2 linked regions of the Diceros bicornis minor genome follow. The protein of the gene in region 1 interacts with the protein of each later gene in a biochemical or structural test. Links are inferred from orthologs where the notes say so. Each region holds a gene or a part of one and is shown in the gene's direction. Other genes may lie near its edges.

Region 1 (7,347 bases):
TGGGCCCCCAAAGGCGTGACCTGTATTCTTTCTTTTGGGATCTGTGAGTATAATAAACTATCTTTTCACTGATAGTTGTCTCCTGATCTGTTGACCTTACATACCTAAATAATAATAAATCCTATTCAAACATCTGCCAGGTTCTCCACTTATAGTTACTATTTTCTCTTTTCAATTAATAAGTAATTTGTGGGGAGAGATCTCAAACTTTTGTGACTGAGATGCATAATAAGAAATATATTTTACATGGTGAGACAGCATATCTATCCATCTATCTATATCTGAAACAAGAGGGCCGGCCCCGTGGCTTAGAGGTTAAGTGCGGGCGCTCTGCCACTGGCGGCCCGGGTTCGGATCCTGGGCGCGCACCAACGCACCGCTTCTCCTCCCTCAGCCGTGTCCCACACACAGCAACTAGAAGGATGTGCAGCTATGACATACAACTACCTACTGGGGCTTTGGGGGAAAAAATAAATAAATAAATAAAATCATATATCTGAAACAAGAGCTTTGTGAAACAAGTCATATCTTTTCCATATGAAAGTTATTTTAGTTTCTATTCTATTCTATTTCATTTGAAAATAATTTGATAAATTGATTTCATAACCCTCTAATGGGTAATGACCTTTGTTTGATAGCACTAGTCTGATGGAAATATCACTTTGGATCATCTGCTTGCAGAAAGGAAAATAGGTGGATAGATGGGAAGGGGTAAAACTGACAGCAAGGAGCCCATTACAAGGCTCTTGTGATAATTCAGACGAGAGAGGTTGGTGGCTTCTGGGAATGAGGTTGAAAGAAGTGGGTGGGTTTGAGAGAAAAGTGAGTGAAATTGAGGAACTTGAGTTAACAGAATGGGTGTGGGGAAAAGAGAGAGGAGTCAAGAATGACAATTACCGCCTTGGCCTCTGGGGCAGATGATGGTGCCCCTTACTGAGATAAGGAACTCTGAAGGTTTATGGTTCAGGCTCTGTCATGTTGAGTTTGTGGTTTTAGGGACATTGGATTAGAGCTGTCCAGTGAACAGGTGGCTCCAGGGCACTCAGGAGGCAAATCTGGGCTGGATTAATAGCAAACTGAAGTTGGATTTTACTCAAGGAGATTTTACAACTTCATGCCCACTGCAGGAAGCAGAAGTTGGCTCAGGATAGGAACAAATGCTCTGAAAATATTTCCAGTAATTTGGCGTTGAGATGCATAAGTAAAATAATATAGACAAGTCAAAAATATATCAAGGAAGTCAATTAACATAAATTTACTAGAATAAATTTCACTTTTCAGCACTTTCCTGTCTCTTTCGGTTAACTGCTCTGTAAAGTCTTATGTGCATATGTGTAGAGAGATGTGGAAAATAAAGAAATTACACTTTTGCATAATATAAAAACAATGCTGCCTTAAATCACAACTCCATTAACCTGGGCTTTCCCAGATGCTGGTCCTTAGATTTAATCCTCCAAATCTAGCAACGAGAATTCTCAGGTATAGATACGGCAGATAAACACGAGCATGGTGCAGGCTGCAAAAGATGCCTGTTTTCAAGCGGCACGAGTTTCGGGTTGCATTGAGAAAAAGGGGTTTTCTAGTGGAAAAGAGTGTGGATGCGTAAGTTTATATGCATAGTGTTGGGAATGATGGACTGTGCTCCGTTAGTGGTCCCTCATCCCCCATCCCCACCCTTTATCTGCTCCCCTCCCTCCCGTTCTCCCTCCATTCTTTCGGCCTTCTCCGGCGTTATTCTGGGATTAACGGCAGGGTCGGCCCCATACACAAACGCAGCTGGCTCATACGGTCAGCCTGAGCCCTGCTGTGCAACCACGTCAGGAATTCCAGTAAGTTGGCAACACTGGAGCACAAAGACAACAACAATGAGGAAAACCCTTCAGTGCAGAAAGGAATGTTTGGAGCCCCGGCTGCTACAGTGAAAGGACGGACACACACACACACACACACACACACACACACACACACACACACTCCCGCCCGCGCTCACCCTCCCGCATCCCCACGCGCCCACGCGCGCACTGGGAGGCGCGCAGCCCCTCCCGCGCATGCGGTCCCCCTGCCCGCCGGCGGGCCCAGGGGCGCGCCTCGCCAGCGCCCGCCGCCGCTCTTTGTAACTGCGTGGTGCGGAGACGCTCATTGACTATGCAGCGCGGCTCCAGCCGGCGTCGGAGCGGCCTGACCCCGGCGCGGTCTCGTACCATCACCCCGGCCGCCCGGAACCGGCATAAATCACCCGGGGAGACTGAAGTGCAGCTTCTCGCCCCCTCGCCGCTTCCCTCCTCCCACCCGGCTCGTCCCTCTCACTTCCCACCACCGTGCGCCTCGGGTCCCCAATCCTGCCTCCTCCTCCGCGCCGCACAGCGCCAAACACTGTGCAGAGAGGCAAATAGCGTTTCAGTGACTTTGGTCAGATCAGAGAACTCTGGATTTCCAAATCTAGAAATCTCGAAAAGAAAGCCACGAAATATCTCCCACACTTCCTCACAGCCCTGCTCTGTTAAGTCTTAGTTTTCACTTTCTGTGTCTATTTCTCCGTCTCTCTCTTTTTGTTTTTTAAAAGCAATATCTACCCCCCCCAAAGCTTCACCAACCGCTAAAGCCCACCGAAGCTACGCGATCCCGACTGTTGGGGGTAGGCAGAGCCCCAGACGATCCGTGCTCTGCAGAAAAGGGGTGGCATTTACCGGCAGGTTCTCGCCCTGGGGAGGGCGAGGCGGAGGGACCCTGCCCGGGGACTTCGTGGATACAGGGCTGCCGCCTCCACGGTCACGGCCCCTCTGACTGAGGGAAACGGCTCCCAACTCCTGGGACCAGGACCTGGCACCTGGGACCCCGCTGCCGAGTTAGTCCAGGGACCGGGGAGGGAGATTCTGGGGCGACCCCGGGCCCGGAAACATCCTCTCCCAGGGCCAGGCAACAGGATGCACCAACCCTGCTTTTTTTTTTCTGTTGGCTCTGGTGTCACGTACCTGCTGAGGACGAATCTCTGAGGGTGAATGTAAAGTTCACTTGTAGTGCTCTTGGGGGCCAGCTCCCCGCCAGCCTGTCCCAACACTGCCCCAAGGAAGGGAGCTGCGGGGTTCTCTGAACCCCTTACGTTCGTTTCTCCCTCACATAGAGGGGCACCAGCAAGATCAAGACGTTCATTCAAGTTTGCTTCAGAATGAACAGACTTGTAGAAGCGCATTCAAGTTTGCTTCAGAATGAACAGACTTGTAGAAGCGCAATCTGGCCGTGACACCTGTAGATGTGGTACTTAAGAAAAGTAAACAAGGGTCCAATCCCCTCCCCGACATTGATGCAACCCCCTCCATAACTTGCAAAAAACACAGAGCACCCCATCTCAGCGCCTCAACTCTATGGGGGGAAACCAGAGTGTTGGAGGGAGACTGCGGATTTCAGACTAGAGAATGGTCACAACTCTCTCCAGCAGGCTCTTTACTTCTCCCCTTCCCCTGTCTTCCTTTTCTTCCTTTTCTAAGTCTGATTTCTCCGTGGACCGCCTAGCCGACTTATATGCGGAGGATAATCCTGCAGAGGGGCTAGGGCAGCGCAGGACCGCGTGCGAGTGTTTGCATGTGAGTGACTGTGAGAAGTGTGTGTGCCCGTATGAATGAGGGTGTGTAACTGTGAAGTGTGCGTGCATGTGTGTCAGTGTCTGTGCGTGTGACTGGAGTGCGCGCACGCGTGTGTGTGACTGAGGACTGTGCACGCGCGTGAATGAGCGTGTGAGACTGCGTGTCAGTTTGTGTGACACTGAGGAGTGTGTGCGACTGTGTGTGAGGCTGTATGAGTACGTGTGTGGGTGTGCGCGCGTGGAATGTGCATGTGTGAGCGCGGTGTGTTCGAGTCCCCACTCCTCCCTCGCTGCAAAGTGCAGAGGGCGGGCCGGGCGGCAGGGGGCCTGCCCCGCTGGATTCCCGCATGCTAGTTCCGGGGCGGTCGGGTCTAAAGGGCTTTATACACTGTCTGGAGGGTGGGGACTGGCGCGGGTAGAAAACGGGATGCCTCGGGCGCCGGGGCCGGCTCTCCGCCACTAGGAGCCCGGCGAGGCGCGGACCGAAAGGAGCGCTCGCGAGCGGAAGTGGTGCGGGTGCTGTGTGCGACGCGCGCCCACCTCCCAGGGAAGGAACGGCGAGGCCGGGGCCCGGGACTGTCGCGGGGATGGAGCGCGGGGCGGCGGCGGTGGCGTGCACGCTGCTGCTGGCTTTCGCCGCTTGCATGGCGCCGGCCAGTGGTCAAGGTAAGCGCCCGCCGGCTCAAGCTCCGCGCGGAGCGCCTGACTTCCCCTGCCGTGGCAGGGTCGAGTCCGCAGGCGGGCGATGGGGACCGCGGCCCGGCAGGGGCCAGGGCAGGGCGGCAAAGCCGGAGCGGCCCCCCCTGGGGCGCTCAGGTTGCCCAGCGAGGGGCGAGTGGGAGCGCCCCTCCTTCGTCCGCTCGGGAACTGAGCAGCCGCAAACTTGAGAAAGGAGCTCCTCCGGTTTCAGCGACAGCTCACACCACCGGGACCCCATCTTTGTTCCCACGGGAGTTTGTCCCGACCTTCTGGAAAGCGCTTTGCAGTTGGGACCCGGAGAATGAGGTTCTTTCCCCAGTGAGTGCGCAGCCAGCTACCCCCACTGATTTATTCTCTCCGGGGCTGAGCGGTCCTCGGCGCTGCTCGGTGCGCAGTTTTCCACCTGCAGCGCCCCGCCGGGGAGATCCCGTCGCGCGCCCTGGACTGCTGCGGGCTAGAGCCGCCCCCCGCCCCCCTCCTTCTTCACCAGGGAAACTTGGTCCCGCGGTGACCCCCAAGAGACCGCGTCTCGATACAGATCATTTACGAGGCAAGATAAGGCCGGGAGGTGGGATTGGCTGAGAGAGCGGCTGAGGCACTGGAGCATTTTCTTGAAGGGTTTTCCTTTCCATCTGGGAGGTGGGGGCTTTTGTGTTGATGAATGGGGCCCGTCTGCGCGGCCAGAGTTTTGAGGGCTCGAATGAAGAAAGTTTCTGTTATAAAGCGCTTTAAACTTCTCTCAAGTTGTCGGAGAGTTTACCTTTTTACAGAAACAGAGGTAGAGAAAGAGAGGGAGGAAGGAGTGGAGAGAATAAAAACAGTACGAGTCCCCTAAGAGAGAAGACGACGAGCACGTAGAGAGGAAAAGGGAGAGGAGGAGGAGAGAGCGACAGAGCTTGAAGACAGAGTACAGCAGCGCGTGGGGGCGGGGGGGGGTGGAGAGCGAGAGGGAGGGCGAGGGAGAGCGAGAGCGCGCGCGAGAGAAACCGGGGATGAATGGGAAGAGCGAGAGGAGGCCGGGGAAGCGGCGAGCTCTCTCCCTGGCTTTGCGTTGCTAGGTAGCAGCCGGGAGCTGCGTGTGACCGACCACCAGACAGACAGAGCGGACGCTGCTGCCTCCGCGGGGACTAATCTGTCTATGCGGATGGAAGAGTCCCTCCTCCCCCTCTTCCTCTCCCGCTCCTTCCTTCTCGTCGGACAACTTAATTGCCCTACAATGAAAATGAAACCCCTATTGTTGTAGGATTAGCCAAAGCAATAAATTGATTTCCCTGGATCACATATTGGGGTTGACGGGTGGGGACTGTGGAAGCCCCCACTTATGGCGGAGAGAGAGGCGGGCTTGTGGATGGGCCGTGGCGTGTATTCAAATGGTTAATCTGCCTTCTTTCCTCAATTCTTAGCATAAGCTCCTTAGAGGGAATCAACTAAGTAATCATACAGCAACTCCTAGTAGTACCCATTTCAGACTTCCTGGGAAGAAGTTTGGAAACGCCAACATACTCCACTGGTCTTGCAAAAATCGCAGGAAGGGAGGGGAGGCAGGGGGAGACCGTTAATAATTCTTCCTTTGAACACCTTTTCTCAGTGTTGGTAACACAGAAAGAGGATTTATTATTATTGTGGAGGGTTTGCCCCAGTGCTTAGGGTTATATATATCTCGCGTCCTAAATATAGCCATAGGATTTACTATATGTTCCTGTCTGTGCCTGGCAAAAGGAAATCTTGTCCGGATTCATCTGGGATACATCTGGGTTGTCCCCGTACAACCAAAACAGATGTTCTCTCCCCTGGATTGATGGTTTAGTCACCAAATAACCTGTACTTGCTCTTCCTGGTAGTTTACATCTATCCATCTTCCATTCTATAATAATAATAATATATAATAATAATATGTATAGTAACATATCATACACTTATACATGTGGCAGGCCCTGTTCTAAGTACTTTACACTTACTGACTCCTCTAATCTTCATAATGCCCTTTTGTAGTAAGTACTCCTTCTCCCTGTTTTACAGATGAGAAATGGAGGCACAGAGCAATTAAGTAACTTGCCCAAGGTCATACTGCTAGAAAATGGCAGAGTTGTGAGGCAAATCCAAGAGATTCTGACTCCAGAGGCTATAATTTAACTGCTGTAGTGTGTAGCTCTCTCTCTGTTTCTCTGTCTCTCTTCTTTTGTACTAAAAATGTCATGCTCCCTAAGTTACTAACCATGCGTGAGGTTACTAAAGAAGCTGAGGGGCATTTTGCAAGTCTTTGCCACATAAAGTCCAATCCACCTGCTGCTCCATTACTGTGGATATTTTTTCAGAAACTCTTCAAGTTTCTATGACCCAAATCCAAGTATTCTCACTGCCGGTCTTCCTTCTTGATCATTTTTACATATGTGTCCTCTGAATGTCCTTAGCCTGGAAGGTTAAGGAGATTTCTAGATTCTTGTTGTATTGATTCTACTTATCTGATGAAGTAAGTATGATTACAATGGAAATGCCCTTATTTTAGCACCACATTTTAGGTAAGATCTTACTGCAAACTTTGCATCATTAGAATTTGGAAAAGAGTTCTGAGTGTTTTATGGTTAGTCTTTTAAAAAAATTATAGCCTATCTGTAGCTACAAATTATTTGCATTTTCCTCATATTTTGTATACTGCTTTTTAAGAAAAAATTTGAGAGACTGAACTCTGGTGTCAACCTGTCTGGGTTCCAGCATTGGCTTTACCATTTTCTAGCTGTGTGACCTTGAGGAAGTCACTTAACTTTGCATGGCTCAGATTGCTTATCTGCATAATTGGTATGATAATGAAAGAATCTATTCCATGGCATTTTATGAACATAAAGATGTAAAAGTGCTTAGCATGGTGTAAAGCATATAGACCATCATCATAAACTAGCAGCTGTTTTATTATATTGACCAACACAAAGTAACATTCTTTTGCTTACTATTCATATTTCCAGTTTCCAAATTCACATAGGAAAGTCTTTAAGCATTTTCCCTAACGTTTCTTTGAGGAATTCTCAGATCCCAGGATCTGATTTGAAGTTTTTTGAGAAAATATTATTGAT
Region 2 (7,908 bases), on another chromosome or scaffold:
CCTAGATTTAACATTTTTTGATGATTCTTGCCTGATTAAGCTTTACTCTGATGGCTGCAAAGTGTGGTTTTTATGCTCCCGCACTCCCTCTCGGTCTACCAGACAGAACCTCTCTTGCTCTAAGCAAGCAGCCTTCCCTTCATTCCCCACTTGTTTATCTGTCTGTTACCAGTATGGATTCATGCGTTCCTATTTTTTGGTGGTTTATTATTTATTACCATCCTTAAATAAATGAGTGTTTAACTTGTTCCAGATTAGGCCAGTGAGAGCTCCTCCATGATGGCGTCTGTGTCCTGGTGACATGTCCCCATCATTTGTGTTTGTTTTCGGCACTTCCTTCCTTTCTAGGATAACAAGATATTTTGGGCTCGCCTTGCACCTGCCCTGCCCCAGCTCTGGAATCACCCATTCTCAAGAACCCCTGGTTTCTTTTACTGGGGAATGGTAGTAGAAACCCAAACCCAGGTATTGGGTATCACGTTGTTACTGGGGTTCAGTGGACAGAGGGGGGAAATATATGCATATAAACACATATATACACACATATCTGTATATGTGTGCACCTATACGTTCATATACAGATGGATGTATATTTTATAAATCAGGAATTTACCCTGAAATCTCCAGTTTCCAGTCTGTCCCCACAGCGTTCTTTCCTGCCATCCCCCTTTCTGTATTTAAATGTCTCTTCTTCCATAACGAGAAACTTGCCTCCCAAGAACATCCAAGCTTTTACTCCTTTGCTTGGTCCTATAACACATCTAAAATAGGGGCATAATGGCTCTTCCTAGACATGTGACCATGGACAAACCTACTGGAAAGAGTCTGGGGCTTGTTTGCAGCTCCCCCTGTCCCAACCCTGCCTAGGACTTGAGTGTAAAGAGTCAAATTCTGTGATCATGAGTTATTTGTATTACTTCTTTCTCTCCCACCTCTTCAGCGACTGTGTTTATGATGTTCATTTGAAATACAATTGGAGCAGTTTGTTCCAGTCCACTTCTAGTTTTATCCTCACCCCTACTTCCCATCCTCATTAATTTAATTTAATTTTTTCAGATATGTAGAACATTCATGTATTCCAAATGTAGAAATTATGCAAAAAGCTATACAGTACTCTGAGAAGTGTCCCCCGCTGCCATATCCTTCTATGCAGTCACCCAGTCTCCCCACCACCTAGCATGTCCCCATGCAGATCAACAGCTTCACTGTGGTCTGGTTGGTTTGTCCTGTGTTTCTTTTTGCAAAGATAAGCAGATTTATGTCTCTCCCTTTCCTTCATCTTCCAAATCTTACATGCTTGATGGTGGTCTTCCCATTTTACTGACGAGGAAACTGAGGCTCCTCATCTGTACTGTTGCAAACCTTTGTGCCTGTTGATAAACGGCCTGTTTTCGGTGCTTTATAGTTCGGATGGAGCTGAGTAAGATGCCCTGAATCACGGAACATGCAGGCAGTGGCATGCAGCTTTTATGCATGCAGTTGTGCCACACCTCCCCCTGCAAAGTCCTGGGTCTGGGCAGACTGCCTCTTCTTCTGGTTTTTAAGGCTGGATTGACATTTTAGACTGGAGTTTGCAGTGTTCTTAGCATATCACACAGGCTTAATCAGGGTGTGGGACCTGGCTGGGAGGGTTTTGTACTTTTTTAAATTCAGGTGATATTTACATAAAATTAACCATTTTAATGTGTACAATTCAGTGGTATTTACTACATTCATGATGATGTGCAACCATAACTCTATCAGGCTCCAAAACATTTTTGTCTCCCTCAAAGGAGACCTATAACCACTAAGTGGTCACTGCCCACTTCTCTGCTTCCCCCAGCACCTGGCAACCACTGATCTGCTTTCTGTCTCTGTGGATTTACCTATTTTTGAAATTTTGTGTAAATGAAATCATACCATATATGACCTTTTGTGTCTAACTTCTTTCACTTGGCATGATGTTACAGCTTGGTACATTGCGGCATGTATCAATACTCCATTCCTTTTTATGGCTGAATAATATTCCGTTGTGTGGACACACCACATTTTGTTTATCCATTCACCAGCTGATGGACATCTGGGAGGGTTTTGAGTGAAACTGGGGAGAAGAGTGGCTTGTACTCTGCCCTTGCTGTGTGACTTCCTAGCCATGTGACCATGGACAAGCTACTAGACTGGTTTGTGCCTCAGTTTCCTTATTTGTTAAATGAGAGTGATAATAATATCTAACTTTTCAAGTGATTGAAGGATTGAATATGATAAAATATGAAAAGTTCATAGCACACAATGGCAAATAGTGGGCCCCTATAAACATTAGCTGTTCTACTATAGGATTGTATGAGGAGAAGGGTGGGTGGGGAGGAGAGGGGTGGGTGAAGAGGAGAGAGAACACAAATTTGTGTTATAGTAGGTGTTTTAGTATGTGTTTGTTCTGTTGTAGCTGCTCAAACCTTTGTGCTTTGTTAAAAAAAAAAAATGCCAATCTGTGTTCTCTGCTTTGTGGTTTTCGTGTCCCCCCCACCACTGAACACCGGCTTTTACGTTTAGAAGCAGTTCACTAGACAGAATGTCTGTAGTGGAATGTTACATAATTCACATTTAGATTTGAAGAGCTCATTATAAAAAACCTGACACACTTCAGGAATATTAAATTACTGCAGATTGTGTGGAGCAAAGAAACATTATTGAAGCATTTCAAAATTCTAGGCGAGCCTGAATTTAACTGATAGGGTTTCACAGCTTTTACCGGGGAAAAATGATTTGAGCTGTCACATGGTTTCTGGCCCTGGAGGACTTTAATCTCCTTAATTACAAAGAAACGAATTTCCTAAATAATTTGGAGTTACTTCACAGCATTTGCTCAACCTCTGGCTTTTGGAAAATTAAAGGGACTGCCAGAGTCCGGGCCATGGTACTCTCTCTGCATACCGCAGCTTCCCTGTTTAAGTTTTTATTTGAAATGATGCTGGTTTTGTTTCATTATTGCTATAGGGATGTACTTCAGAAATTCACCAGTAATGCTTGTGGCACTTGAACACAATCACATTTTGTCGAACAAGTGACGCTGGAGATACCCACAAGATAGAGAGAGGTGCTGTGTTGTGGCTTACAAAGTTGAAGAGGAGAAAATGGCCCAAATCCAATATGCTGACTTTTAAGAGTGCTTGAAATTGTGTAAAATCTGTATATTTCAGCTCATTTCAGTATTTATGGATTAGGTACCTACTGTGTGCAAGACCAGCATGATGGAAATATCTTAGATTCTACCATTTCCTCACTTCATCCTTAGAAAGCAGACTTAACCTGCCTTAATTTCCTCCTCTGTAAAAGGAGGATAATAATATAGACTTGTGGCTACATACCAGCCATGTGACCTTGAGCAATTAACATAGGAAACTATTAGTGCCTGATATTTATGAAGTGCTTGCCCGGAGATGTGCCAGGCACTCTTCTAAGCTTGTTACACCTTTGATCACCTTCATTTCCACAGCAGCTCCGTGAAGTTGCTACTGCTATCCCCATTATACAGACAGAGAAACTGAGGTAAAGATAGGTTGAGTAATGTCCTCAATGTCACATTGCTTGTAAGTGGCTCAAACTATACAGTTGGCCAAAAATCAGATCATAACTTAAGTAGGGAGAGATTCCATTTAACAGAGGGATCAGAAAATCTTTCTGCCTAAGATACTTTGAACTAAACTTTGAGGGGTTGGTAGAATGTCAAGGCAAGTTGTAAAGAAAGATTGCATAGAAAGGTAACAGCACAAGGAAAAATTGAGAAGATGGGAAGTATATCACCTCCCTACTAGACTTATGCTTCCTTTTATTAGTTTGGTTGTTAATTTCAAGCCTCCTTGCACATGCTGGTCTTTCTGCTTGAAACAACCATTCATTCATTATACATACATTTATTGAGTACCCATTGCTCCTTTCCCTTATCATCCACCTGGCAGAAGCATCATTCTTCGAGATGCCGCAGTGTAGGGCTACTTCTCTGTGAAGCTTTATGGACTTCCAAGCAAAGCTGAGCACTTGTGCCTTTGTGCCCCAGTATGCCTGGTATTTGCCTGTTTTTGTTCTGGTCATGTGTATTGCAGTCCCTTACATGACTGACACCTCTGCTAGACTGAGTTTTAAGATCAGGAATCAGGCTTTGGCCCTGTGCTCTTGCCCAGCATGGTCGTGCCGTAAATGTCTGTTGACATGAATGAGCCAGCGACTGCACCTGGCCCATAGTAGGTTCTTAGTAAATATTTGTTGCAGTGAAATGATAAGTATTATTAGTAAAATTAATAAATTAATAAAATTAATTATGTCCATATATGACTGAGTTTTGTGACTCTGTCGTCTCATGGAGTGTTGTCTTTTGCAGGGGAGAGGTTAGGAAGCGGATGAGTGCTAGTGCATAGTGCAGATAGATGGCACAAAAGTGGCAGGAAAAGTTCTCATTTTCTACACATGATTTCACAGACCCCATTCTAGGAAGGTAATTTTCCGTTTTCCTTAGTTGTAGCCTTAGATCCTCTAGTTCAGGCACCTCTCATTCAGGGCCAGTGTCCTTTTTAAAAAACAGTTCCTTTGTTACAAACAAACCAGATGTCTTGGGATAAGGTGGGAATTTCCTTATATTTAAGCCTTATTTATGTGGCTTTTGTATAGAGCTTTTAGTTAAGCCATCATTTTTTTTTTTTTTTTGGTGAGGAAGATCAGCCCTGAGCTAACGTCTGTTGCCAGTCCTCCTCTTTGTGCTGAGGAAGATTGGCCCTGGGCTAACATCTGTGCCCATCTTCCTCTACTTTATATGTGGGACGCCGCCACAGCATGATAGGTAAGCCATCTTTAATTGTCATGATTAAGAGGTTTGGGTCATTCTTCTTTTTGCACTGAAAGTGGGATTGAAGGTCGGCTTTTGCAGATGAAACAGTTCTAGATCTGCAGAATGAGCTAAGAATTGGCTGCATGGTTTGAAGATCCATTTCCAGTAGCTTTATCTTAGTATTCTTTAAAAACAGGTAACTAGTGAAATGTTTATTTTCGACTGCACTCTCAGATATGACTATCAGATAAATAGTCATTGGGAAAGACTGTTGACTTGACACAGAGAATACATTCACTCAATTTAAATGAAATCGAATGAGATAATGTATGTGAAGCAGTAGCTGAGGGCATAGTGTATAGTAAGTGCATAGTAAATACTGGCTGTAATTGAAGTGGTTGTATTATCATTATTATCTCTTCCCAGCACAGTGTCTGAACTTAATAGTACCTAGAAGTGTGCAGTGCATAGTTATTAAACAAAGAATGAATGAAATGTGTCTGCCTGCTTCTTTTCTTTTTCTCCTCACATTACATGCTTGTCTGCTCTTATAGCTGGGGGAAAAGCTGACATAAAAATTGGCTTGCTGGAAAGTTTCTCAGCCCCATTTGTCACTTTACCCTTGGAGCCCAATTGTATGTCAACTCCATGTCCCCTCTGATGCCTGCCAGTGAGGGACAGACCACAGGTCACTTCCCTATGATCTGCTTTAGCTGCCAAGGCTCTGATCAAGCTTGGCTGATGGATGGGTGCCTGCTGTTGGAAATGTCTCCACAGGGCTAGTCAGGAAATACGCCTTTGCTCTATTTTCTGGGTGGCATCTAGTGATTGAAAATACGAAACATGGAAAAGAAAGAGTTGGGTTTTGCCCTTCTTGAAAGTCCAGAGTTTTAAGGATCTGTTCTGAGTTACCTAGTTTGAGAAAGAGTTTGCATAGACTCTCATTCCTGTGCTAGGTGAGCCCTGTCAATGACTTGGTGAAGTCATGCGAGCAGTTTGCACATGGAGACCAAGATTTTGCTGTTTTTATGTGTTTGCCAGTTCATTTCTTTCCCTTAATTTCTGTTTAACTTCGAAAGGGTGATTATTCTGAATGTTCTCTTTCCCCTTTGCAGCACTCGAAAGGAGTGAATGAAATGTGCGGCTTGGGGTGTCATTTCTGAAGGGAGGAGTCGTTCTCTTGGAGAGGAGTCCTCAATGAGCCTGGCCGAGGCCCGGGATCTGTGTGAAGTGGACTAAGGATTTAGTAGGATGTCAACTGAGACAGAACTTCAAGTAGCTGTGAAAACCAGCGCCAAGAAAGACTCCAGAAAGAAAGGTAGGGCCGAATTGGTTCCTTTCCTAGTGACTACTTATCTGTACAGGAATGGAGTTTTTTTAAATCTCTGGAATGGTACATAGTACTGTCTTTGTGATTGCATATCTTTTTTAATAGTCACCAGCATTATTTGGTGTTTTTTGTACTCATAGTATAATATTTGAATGGCTCTCCATTCTCTGTGTAAAATCCAAAAATCTTTTCAAAATATACAAAGCCCTTCTTGAGATGCTTTCTGCCCATCCCTCCAGCAACCTCTCTGCCTGAGCCACCCAGTCCCCCCAGCCAGCCCTGTTTACCCTCCAGGCATTCTGTCTGTTGCAGTTCGCCTTTGCTATCCCAGTGGTTCTCAGCCTCCAGCAGCACCAGAATCACCTGGAGGGCTTGTTAAAACAACATTGCTGAGTCTCTTCCCCAGAGTTTTGCATTCGCCACGTCTGGGTTGGGGCCCAGACTCTGTGTTTATAACAAGTTCCCAGATGACGCTGATGCTGTTGGTTCAGAGACCAGACTTTGAGAACCACTGGACCGTCAAGCCAGCCGGAAGTCTTTTGTCGCTCTCCACTCTTTGATACCGACTCTTACTTATTGTTCAGGTTTGACCTTAGTGGGACCCCCTGGGAGGCCTTTCCTTACTCCCCAAGTTGGGTGAATTGCTTTTGTTTTGTTTCGCTTTAGTAGCACTTTGTTAGTATCTCACTTTATTAAAAATGCCCTGTGTTTTTGTTTGTTGGCTGTAGTATACACTCCTTCAGAGCTGGACCTCTTGTTCATCCTTTAACTCCCAACACTTAGAAAGTGCCTGGAGAGGAGGCACACAGATATCTGGTAATGAAGACTCGCATGCATAGTGTGATAATAAAACGACTATATCACTTTGCATGTTTTCTAGAGGATGTGGTCTTATGGCTTTATGACCAAACCTTTCAGTAAGTTTGTTCCCTTGTAATTAGATGTAAGCAACTTCTTACTTTGTGTGTGTGTGTGTTTTCTCCCTGTGGTTTCAGCTCTTTCCCTCCCCTGTCTTCTTAGCTGCATGGAAGAGGATTAAAAGAGCTCTCTTTCAGGTCTTAAAATCTGTCAATATGGGCCTGCAAACTGAGATGCCCTTGGTTGCCTTGTCTGGGCAGTTATTTGTTAGAGACATCGCTGTGCCTGCCCAGTCATGCTTTGTGATGGCATTTGTCTGACACTCTATAGGAAGCAAGGGATGTAAATGTAATTACATATGCAGCTCTTGGACAGCCAAAACCCCAGGAAGGACTGTAAATTTTGCTTTAGATGTTTATTTGAAACACAAATATTTTAGAAGCAGTTTATTTTATTCTCTAAAACTTAATGTAAACCTTGTTTTTTTATGCATCATGGTCTAAGAATAATAAAAGGAAAGCAAGTGGGTGAGAGAACAGGTCTTAGGAGAACTGCTACATGGGAAAAAAAAAAAAAAAAGATAGCAGAGCCCGGTATGTGCTAGAATTCAAATGCTTTTTCAGTGGAAACTGACAAGTTATATTTTTGCTTCAAATTTAACCTTTGCACTAAACTTGTGCTCTTGAATGCTTAATGCATTAAAAATTGTATCTTAGTGCATATCTTTTCATTCTTAATTTTAACATGCAAAACCAGAAGCATTCTAAAGAGAGAATTCAAGTTTTCAGAACATTGGCTTTGCTGAAGATTTGGAATGGGAGCCTGAAGGTGACCTTTTTGGACCCTCCTCATCTTTATGTCCTGAGAAGCTCTAAAATCAGCACAGTACACACGCAAGGAGTATCCTCTAATGAGTGGCTAA

What was found.
Region 2: the proteins of LRP2 (region 1) and DAB1 form a complex in vitro, tested with the Homo sapiens proteins (2 studies listed by BioGRID). The link is inferred for Diceros bicornis minor from reciprocal best matches to the Homo sapiens genes LRP2 and DAB1.

Annotation. Positions count from the first base shown.
Region 1 is NC_080749.1:51,011,909-51,019,255, reverse strand, and holds the start of LRP2 (low-density lipoprotein receptor-related protein 2), read left to right. Parts: upstream 1-4,005; 5' UTR 4,006-4,167; coding exon 4,168-4,246; intron 4,247-7,347. UniProt on the Homo sapiens protein: Multiligand endocytic receptor. Acts together with CUBN to mediate endocytosis of high-density lipoproteins. Mediates receptor-mediated uptake of polybasic drugs such as aprotinin, aminoglycosides and polymyxin B.
Region 2 is NC_080752.1:19,192,447-19,200,354, reverse strand, and holds the start of DAB1 (disabled homolog 1), read left to right. Parts: upstream 1-4,717; 5' UTR 4,718-4,810; intron 4,811-5,913; 5' UTR 5,914-6,049; coding exon 6,050-6,116; intron 6,117-7,908. UniProt on the Homo sapiens protein: Signaling adapter of the reelin-mediated signaling pathway, which regulates the migration and differentiation of postmitotic neurons during brain development.